Arabidopsis thaliana: one gene and its partner. The protein of the gene in region 1 interacts with the protein of each later gene in a pairwise test. Each region holds a gene or a part of one and is shown in the gene's direction. Other genes may lie near its edges.

Region 1 (5,562 bases):
GTTGCGACCGGATTAGTCAGATGCTCTAAATTCATTGTGCTAGAGACATTACTGTTTGGTGGCTGTTGCAGCATTCCTGTAAGTTCATAAAGATAAAAAGTTGTTGGTATATTGTCAAGTCTAAACCGAATTCTTCTTATACATAGGTGGAGTTATAGTTTCTGTCTTTCTCACGGAAGAGCAGGAGTACCTGGACGTTGTAAGGCATGTGCTGCTATAATGGGAGAATGAGAAAAGGTATTTGCAGGTGGTCCACTTTTCATCTCTTTCTCAAGAGAGGAGATGGTGTCTTGATCAAAAACCTCCTTAGAAGCCCAAAACTGCAAAATCTTCTCCAAACGTGACTGGTTTTCTTCCTTGTTTTGTGGAAAGTGGTAAATCCTCCCCAGCATGGAACCCAAAATAGGTCTGAAAGCAAGAGCTTCATTGTCAAACTCGTGCAAGTTTGTCCTTCGTTGTAAACTGTATTTAAGGAAGCAATAAACATGAGAAAATATTAGGGCAGAAGAATCTAATGTTGCAACCCAAAATTTTGAAAGCACAGACTGAGACTCCTAATAATATAGAATGAACGAAAAACTAGTCTATGCCGAAGTCCTCTAGAATGATGTAAAGAGCGATCAGGGATGAAGTTTAGATACCTGTCGAAGAGAATGTCATTAGCTAGATAAACTATGTGCATCTGCCTATCAGAATCATCCATTGCAAAGACCCTGTCTCTAAGTGCCTCTGCTAAAGCTGGTGCAAAGGGAGATCTCTGCATGAACCAAATCTTAGCACTTTTAATAGACTCTTTCGTGCCATTAAGGTTGCCCAAGACACCATTTAGTTCCATTGCAACATCAGCAGGGAGTGGACCAGAAAGACCTCGGAACGCATGAGTTGACTGATCAAAATCAGGACGAGCATGGGGCGCAAAAGGATGAGGCTGCGGAAGATGCTGTTGGAGCTGGTGGTGGTCATGGAATGGTGGGAAAGGAGGTTGGCGGATTGGTGGCACAGCCAATGCACCAGGTACATTGTTCATTGAAGGACTCATCATGGGATTTGGCGGATGATGTATCATAGGCATTGAAGATGACGGGAATGGAGGATCAAAGGGTCCTCCAGGGGGATGCATAGAGAGAAAGTGCTTATAGCGGTAATAACCATGACCTTCACCCCCAAACAGAAACGCATAATCAGGATTATCCTTCTGTCTATCTCGCATCATAGCCTCAAACTCAGGACCGTTCTTAACCGAATACTCAACAAGCTTATCAATCCGTTTCTGCAGCTCTGGATCAGCTGGAGGAGGAGGAGGAGGAGCAGAATCATACGGTCCAGGGAATGGCGGAGGAAGGTGATGTGGAGGTAAGTGAGGAAGGAAAGCCTGAGGTTGCTGTTGACCAAACATCTGTGGGTGAGGAGGATGAGGAAGATGCTGCGGTTGCTGCTGCTGATGCATAGGATGCTGGTAAGGGAACTGCTGCATAGAAGGATGAGGAGGAATGAAACCAGAAGCATTCATTGGTGATGGATACTGAGGATGTTGCGGATGAAATCCGAATTGTGGTTGTTGTTGCTGTTGAAAGTTAGGACCTTGTTGCTGCTGTTGCTGAGCATAAGGTAACCCAGAAGAAGCAGCATAATCGTGCTGTCTTCGATCCATGTATATAAACTCTGTAACACTTGTGTTGTATAGATTCAGCTAAGTGTTCCTGAGAAGATTGTAAAAACAAAAGCTTTCGAAATTGGGCCATATAATTCAATACGAGAGAAGTAATTCCCAGAAGGTAATCAATATCTACGCAAAGAGAAACACCGAAACTATACACAGTGTAAATTGAAGAGTTTAACAAAAAAGCGACATCGCTTAAGAATCTGACTACACGACCCTAACAGCAAGAAAATCGAGAGAGCGAGACACAATACCTAGTTCAATCACTTACTAACAAAGAAGAACGCAACTTTCTGAGAAGAAAATAGTTGAATCGGATGGAGCAGAAGCTAAACGCACCTGAAGAAGAAGGACTGAAGGAGAGACCTTTACTCTGCTGCTAGGATCCGGAAGTTTTAATTGGGCCACGAAAAACCGACCCAAAAGTTTTAATTGGGCCACGAAAACCCGACCCGAAATCTATTTTGACTAATAAGAGTTGACCGGGTAATTTGGCGGATCTACTTGATCCTGATTTATACCCGACCCGAGTTAGAAGGCACTAAGCAGATAAACCCCAGAGACTGAGTAAACCCTTAAGAATTTCTTTACCAGACATCTCCGCCATTAACAAGATCTCTCTTCTTCTACTCGATTTATGATAAGCTACGGATTCACTCGTCGGATGATTTGAAAGTTTCTGAATCAAACAGAGTATTCTCAATGCAGAGAACCATCTCACTTGCGGCTGCTAAGTCTTCTTCTTCGACTTCAGTTCTGTCTCTTCATCCTCTCATGGCTAAGGTTTGTGTTTCGACTCTTACGCTGGTGAGATACTGAAATGTTAGATTCTCAATTTAAAAAGTTTGGTATTTTATGGCTAAATCATTATACTCTCGTCGTTTTCGTATTGAAATGGAGTCGAATTTGTTTCAGTGAGCTTCAATTTTTCGTTTATGTTATTTAGATGTGTTTGAAAATTCATCAGTAGAACTCATGGAGATTCTGACGATTACTTGTTTCTTTGTTGTTGCAGTTGCAGTGCAGGGCGATTCAAAATTTCCCAGCTTCCTCTTCCTCTTCAGTAGTTCGGGTCGATAGAGTGTATAGAAATGTATCCCAGCTTCAGTTTAAAAGAGAAAATTCAAGTTGTCTTAAGTTAGCTTGTGCACTTCCTTCGCATCTAAGTCTTCTCGGTTCTCTTAGTTATGCAACACATTGGAGCAGCTCCACTTCAAGGGCCTTTGGATATAGTTTCAGACCGTTTGCGAGGAGATATTTTTCTCAAGTCGCTAGTACTGAGATTAAGGATAGCATTGTTGGTGGTGTTGAAAAGTTTGGTGGGAATAAAATAGGTTTCAAGAAATTCAATAAGAAGTGGAAGAAGCATAGGGTTTTGGCTTCCACAAAAGCTGAAGTGGTGGCTTCTACTGAACCAGTTATTGGAGATGTTAACAGTGGCATCAAGGCGAAACTATCAACTGCAGCTTCACCTGCTAGCAATGCTAAGCAAGCCTCTACTGTCAAAACAAAACGGCAGCCAAAGAGCAAGAAATTCGAAGATAAATCTTCTCCAACGGTATCGGTTTTGGAGACCGTCTCTGTAGACGAGAGTTTGCAAAGCTTTCCCAAGCCTAGACATTCGGGTTCCGGAAATCGGAAGTCTTCATCTGCTGAGGTATTAAACTAGTAAAGTTTTTTGAATCATCGTCTTACCCTTGCTCATATCTTCTAACAGTACAGTTCTCAGAAGGAGGTGGTAAAAAAAACCAATGTGGAGGGGCCCAAAAGTTCTACTCCATCGAATTCCATGTCAGAACAACAGCATTGGACCTCAACAAAAGCAAGCAATGCACCAAAACAGGAGCAGGATAACATTGTTGGTGGTGATGAGAAGGCTGGTGGGAATAAAGTAGGTTTCAAGAAATTTAACAAGAACCGAAAGAAGCATAATGTGTTGGCTTCCTCAGAAGCTGAAGTGGTGACTTCTACTGAACCAGTTATTGGAGATGGTAGCAGTGGCATCAAGGCGGAACTATCCACGGCAGCCTCACCTGCTAGCAATGGTAATCAAGCCACTACTGTCAAATCAAAACGGCGCCCCAAGAACAAGAAAGTCGAAGATAAATCTTCTTCAGTGGTACCAGTTTTGGAGGCGGTCTCTCTAGATGAGAGTCCGATAAGCGTTCCCAAGCCAAAACATTCTGGTTCTGGAAATCGGAAGTCTTCATCTGCTAAGGTATTTGACTTTAATAGTTTTAGGACCGTAATAGTCTTACCCTTGCTTATTTTACCTAACAGAGTAACAGTACAATTCTCAGAAGGAGGTGGCAAAAAATCACCCTGTGGAAGAGCCCAAAAGTCCTGCTCCATCAAATTCCAAGTCGGAACAACAGCATTTGAAGTCAACTAAAGCAAGTAAGGCACCAAAACAAAAGCTGGTTCCTCAACACATGAAAAACAGCATAGAACATCGAGGTCAAAATGCATCTAAACCGCTTTATCCGCCAAGTGGAAAATCTGTTATTGTCGTTGAGTCAATGACAAAAGCAAAGATTATTCAGGGTTATCTTGGTGACATGTATGAGGTTTTGCCAAGTTATGGTCATATCAGGGACCTGGCCACAAGGTCTGGTTCAGTGAGGCCAGATGACGATTTTAGCATGGTTTGGGAGGTTCCATCTTCCGCCTGGACTCATATTAAGAGCATTAAGGTTGCATTAAATGGGTACGGTTTCTTGCCTAATCACTACTTTAAAAATCTATTGTTGCTATTATCTATATTCCTTAATTCTAGAATACTTTCCGGGTGTCAAAGTGCTGTACAGCTATTGAGATATGTGGCTTGTTCAAACTTGTATGATATGAACTACTTCTTTCCTATGGTTTTTCTTATTGTGCTTATCTATCTCATTATGTTTACCTTATTCCTCAGAGCTGAAAATCTGATTCTTGCATCGGACCCAGATCGTGAAGGAGAGGCAATTGCCTGGCACATTATAGAGATGTTGCAGCAGCAGGGTGCCTTACATGAAAGTATGACAGTAGCAAGGGTTGTATTCCATGAGATAACTGAATCAGCAATAAAAAGTGCACTTCAATCTCCACGAGAAATCGACGGGGACTTGGTGCATGCTTATCTTGCACGGCGTGCTCTTGATTATCTCATCGGATTCAATATTTCACCACTACTATGGAGGAAACTTCCGGGTTGCCCGTCAGCTGGGCGGGTCCAGTCTGCTGCTTTGGCTCTTGTATGTGATAGAGAAAGTGAAATTGATGGATTTAAGCCTCAGGAGTACTGGACTGTAGGAATCAAAGTGAAAGGGAAAGATAATTCAGCCACCTTTTCTGCTCACTTGACCAGTTTAAATTCAAAAAGATTAAATCAGCTTTCTATCAGCTCTGAAGCAAATGCACAGGACATTGAGCAAAGGATCAAATCAGAAGGTTTTCTAGTGAAGGGCACTAAAACAAGTACTACACGGAAGAATCCGCCAACTCCGTACATAACATCAACCCTTCAGCAGGATGCTGCTAACAAATTACATTTTTCAACAGCACATACCATGAAGGTTGAGAGCTAAAACCTTTTTCATTTTCATTCACTTTTTCCTTGAATTCATATTTCTAATAATAAGTACTTTGCAGCTCGCTCAAAAATTATATGAGGGTGTCCAACTGTCCGATGGTAAATCAGCTGGTCTTATAACATACATGCGGACAGATGGTTTACATGTGGGTTTATCTCTTTAATTGTGTATTTTCTGCTATGGGCATTCATTTTGTTTTGATTTTCAAAAATATTACTTTCTGACTGATTCATCTTATCTGTTACAACTTCACTTTGATTTTCCTTGATTCATTTGTTTCGTTTTTCATTTGTTTCTGTTCCCATCAGATAGCTGATGAAGCTATCAAAG
Region 2 (4,610 bases), on another chromosome or scaffold:
TCTTCTTGAAAACATGTACACGTATTTAATTATAAATGCATATATAAAGATCCTACCGACGAAAAAATAAAAAGATTGAAAACATGACATCTGCTTATCGTCCAAGAGTTATTGTGAATGGAACAAGAAGAACAAGAACGTTCCATTACTTCTATTGTCGCCATTGTAGCCGTACCATTAGGCTAAGAAGCTTTGGTCTATATGGTCCCATATGTCCTTTCTGTTCTAGAGAGATCAATCTTCACGATGAGCTTGACATTATGAGGCCAAGCCGACCTTATTGGGATAGTGATACCGATTGGATCACTCTCCATCTTATCAACGAACCAAGAAGTAACCGGTTCAATCATGATGATCTAGTTTATAATACTGACGAGGAATTCGCTGATGTCATGCCTAGTGTACAAATCGGTCCACCACCAGCCTCGCAATCCGCCATCGAGGCTGTAAGGACGGTGATAATCACGGATGAAGATTTGGTGAAAGAGAAGGTTTGTGCGATATGCAAGGAGGAATTTGAAGTTGGAGAGGAAGGAAAAGAATTGAAATGCTTGCATTTGTACCATTCAAGCTGCATTGTGTCTTGGTTGAACATTCACAACACTTGTCCCATTTGTCGTTTTGAGGTTAACTTAGGTGTTTCCGAGAGTAACGTAGACGAAGGAGGGTCTTACAACATCGACAATGATCGATCAAATCGGTTTCGGACTCGGGTTTGTTCTTTGTGGCCTCTCCGAATGATGATTGATTGGGTACATAATCTCATAGGTAAGATTCCACCTCCCGATATAGCTTTCATGGCTTTTCTATTATGCTTATACGGGTTTTGACTATGATATTTAACTCTTAAAAATATATACAATTTCGCAGATATAAGAATAACAAACTCTTGACAAAAAAAAATTAAAGAATTGCAAACAAGAATGTATGAAACTAGGAATATTATTGACTACATATTAAGTGTATTATGACTTATGAGAGAGAGGAGAAGAAACACACATCAATAAGAAACGACAAAAAAAAACTACATAAAGAGACAAAGAGGGTGATCATGAAAGGCTAGAAGCGTGTTTATTTCATGAAACAAAACTTTGGCATTAACAAGACTATATTTGCATTAATTATCTTTTATTCATTTGTAAGTTGTAACAACATGTAAATAAAAAATCTTGGTAATAAGGTTAGTCCTCTACTCTACTAGCTAGGGTTCCATGATCTCTCATAGTCTCTGAAAACGCTTTGTCTCCCTTTCTTTGTTTCTTTCTCTCTCGTGATCATCGAACACAATTTACTTAGGTATGGTTTGAATAGCCTCACCAACCCTTTTTATTTGCCGGTTATCTTATTTTTGGCCTGATTTTGTAAAGCCGAGTTTGTGCCTTCTCGGTTTGGTTTACTATAACCTTCATGTAGAGCTTCCCATGGACTTCTCTACTAAAGACTTAGGATGAGTCTTGTTGTACCATCTTTTATTGTCATGCATTCAAAAATACCAACAAAATTCTACTAAAGTACAACAGATCTCAAATGACAAATACGCAATCAACTATGATGGTCACCCAACCCAATTAAACCAATCTGAAAAAAAAGTGTGATAACCAATGAAAACTCGGCCCACTAAACAGGCCCAACAAACAAATAATAAACCCAAGAGGTGCTTCTTAATCGCCGATGCCTCTCTTCATCAAAATTCAAAATCACTTTTGTCTTTTCAAAAATCACAGCAAAATAATATTCAAATTCAAAATCTGTCCAAATTCATCTAGGGTTTCTGATAAAACAGACGAAGAAGATCCAAATTCGCTAACAATGGTGAGAATTTTATGAATTCCCAATACCCCAATTTTTAAAACCCTAATTTTGTCTGTTGTGGGATTGTGTTGATGCCTGAGTTTTTCTGAATTTGTATTACTGATTGATGATCAGGGAGGTGAAGGAGAAGATCTAGAGCCACTTTTTGATTATCGTCGTGTTCAGCCAGCGAATTTCGTTTGTATCGATGGTGAGTTTCGATTATTTGATTTGGTCACTGAGCTCGACACTCGACAGTGATAAAGATGAATCCTTTATTATCGCTTGAATTTTTGTAGATGATGATGATGATGCCTCGGTGACGCCAATTCCGAAGAAAGCGAAAACTTCACAAACAGTAAGAATTGATTTTTATTGATTGGTTGTTGTCTCATTGAGCTCTTTGTGTTAACTTGATAGATACTTTTGGTATTGTGGGCTTGTAAAGAGTTTTGAATCAATGTCAGTGAAGGAACAATTCGATTATGTACTTCACAATTCATAGGTTGAATCTATCATCATTCCTTTTGGAACTTGAATCTTTTTATATAGGTTGAGAAGTTAGATGATGATGTGAAAGTGATTGAAGTTACGGGTGATGACGATTGGTTGCTTCCTCCACCAAAGGTTATCTTCGACAAAAGTAAAGACTCTGTTGAAGATTCAACTATTAAAGCATTGAGGTAACTTTTGTATGTCTTTGAGTATTTCTCATCTCTAAGCTTCCCATGTTGCTGTTAGAGGCTATGGTAGTGTTATTTGCTATCCGGAAAGAGTCCCAGTGTTACAATTTGATTATAAATGAAATATGTAACGTAGGTCGAAGAAGATGGAGCTCATGTCATTTACAAAAACTGTAGGAGATGTGATGCAGGAAGTTGAGGAGTCTGCTAAAAGGGAAGTTGAAGAATCTCGCAATCCATCTTCAGAGACTGCTGCTCAGTTACCATCAGAGCCTACGAATGACAGGGCCAAGATTGTTATTACAATACAGGACAAAGATGGACAGAAGACACTCCGGGTGTTTGCGGTAAGTTTTTTCACTGCTTGCCACTTACTATCCAACCTTCCATCGACAATAAGCTTACTATCCAAACTTTTTCTAGCTAGATACTAGATATTTAGTAGAGATAAGAATTAGTTGTTATGTCACCTTCGCTACTATCTAGATAGCTAGATATTTCGAGCTTTCTAGGAAAGCAAGAGTATAAATACAGGGATTAAAGAAATCATTGAATGGGGTCGAGTATTTGAGACGTGTATTAGTTGATGGATCTTTAAACTATTCTTTGAGTTCATCTAATAAACTAGAGAACGAGTTCATGTTCTTATCAATGTATCATCACCACATAGCATTTACACACAGAATACATATTGCTTGCTCTCTGTCATACAATGAGCCGCTCATTAATAGATATGCATATTCTGTTAAAGCTTGTAAAATATGAGAATGTTGATTTGGTATTTACCATTTTCTTGTAGGACGAGAAATTTGAGAGGGTTATCAAACTGTATACAGATAAAGCTAAGCTTGACCCGCAAAATCTTGTATTTATTTTTGACGGTGATAAGATTGATCCATCAACCACTCCTTCTGAACTTGGCATGGAGGATCATGATATGATTGAAGTGCACACCAAAAAAACTTGACAAATAGGTAACTTATGAAGTCCTCCACATCTTTCTTCTTGCTCTTATTGTGATATGATGATAACTCATTATCTTCGATTGAATTCAAGTCAGGCGCTAATCGGAATCTGGAATGTCAAATCTGTTCCATCTTTTGCGAAAAACCAGAGTTTTGTACATCAACATGGGCATGGGAAGGGATCTCTCTGCTAACATCTGGTGTTTGTATCTGTGACCTTTCTCATTTTATCGGAATTTTGTTTCTTTCTTTCTTTCACTCTTTCTGTCACTCTTTATTAGGCGTGTATAATATATAAGGTAAACCAAACCATTTTGATTTTAACTAATCCTATTGAATCCAATCTAAAAATCTAACTAAACTTTTGTTTGGTTTTAATCGTTATGCTTTCTCTATCTCTTGAGAAACATAAATATATATCTCACTAATCTAAGACAAAACTAAAACTATTGTATGTATAATCAGTATTGCTTTTTACTAACTGACAAAAACTGGAATCAATGGTAAATCGGTTAAATTCGGTTTAGTGTACTTTTTCCTTTGTTTCTTAGTAAATGTCGTTTTACACTGATATTTTTTATATTCAAATATAGTCTCATGACTCTAATATTTCTTGTTTTGTAACATTAGCTTTTAATATAATCTTGATAGAAAAGAAAACATCACATTAGTCATTAATAAAATTCTTAAAAATGTAAAATTATAAGAATTAACACATTCAAGTACTATTTATGTGTTTTAGTTCATGTGAAAAATAATAAAACCAATTAACGAACTAACCAAGTCGGATAATTGTAGTTTTTGTTTGGTCCGGAGTTAGCTACGACATGTGGCATACAATAATTGGTTAGGAAAAGCTAAGCTTTAAGAGTTAGAGATGATGGGTCGTGAAAGAAGAAGCTGTCACAGTGGCACATACGTCCGTGGCTTCCCCATATCTCACGTGCATACGGATAACGTAATCACCATTTTTTCTAAGTCCCCACCCAAATATCTACGTGGCTTTGCCACGTCATCCTAACCAAACCGACGGATTTGTTCAGATAATATGAAAAAGCTCCTAAAAACAGACAGAAGAAGCTTTTGTCACCAATCTCTGATCTTTTTAGTTCTCTTATCGGTAAAAACTTATTCTTCTCTTTTTGTTCGATCTGTGATCTCTAATAAACTA

What was found. Proteins that work in one complex are often made in the same cells at the same time.
Region 2: the proteins of AT4G31210 (region 1) and AT1G68185 interact in a two-hybrid assay, tested with the Arabidopsis thaliana proteins (one study listed by BioGRID).

What each region holds. Positions count from the first base shown.
Region 1 is NC_003075.7:15,162,918-15,168,479, forward strand, and holds the start of AT4G31210 (DNA topoisomerase, type IA, core), read left to right. Parts: upstream 1-2,217; 5' UTR 2,218-2,362; coding exon 2,363-2,443; intron 2,444-2,675; coding exon 2,676-3,317; intron 3,318-3,377; coding exon 3,378-3,878; intron 3,879-3,960; coding exon 3,961-4,367; intron 4,368-4,574; coding exon 4,575-5,214; intron 5,215-5,290; coding exon 5,291-5,377; intron 5,378-5,540; coding exon 5,541-5,562. Other genes in the region: AT4G31200 (SWAP (Suppressor-of-White-APricot)/surp RNA-binding domain-containing protein), read right to left, coding at 1-76, 191-462, 642-1,651.
Region 2 is NC_003070.9:25,554,733-25,559,342, forward strand, and holds AT1G68185 (Ubiquitin-like superfamily protein), read left to right. Parts: upstream 1-1,650; 5' UTR 1,651-1,671; coding exon 1,672-1,812; intron 1,813-1,926; coding exon 1,927-2,002; intron 2,003-2,090; coding exon 2,091-2,149; intron 2,150-2,343; coding exon 2,344-2,474; intron 2,475-2,610; coding exon 2,611-2,821; intron 2,822-3,273; coding exon 3,274-3,441; 3' UTR 3,442-3,448; exon of another isoform or gene 3,449-3,534; 3' UTR 3,535-3,801; downstream 3,802-4,610. Other genes in the region: AT1G68180 (RING/U-box superfamily protein), read left to right, coding at 84-768, 871-893; BBX27 (B-box zinc finger family protein), read left to right, coding at 4,488-4,559.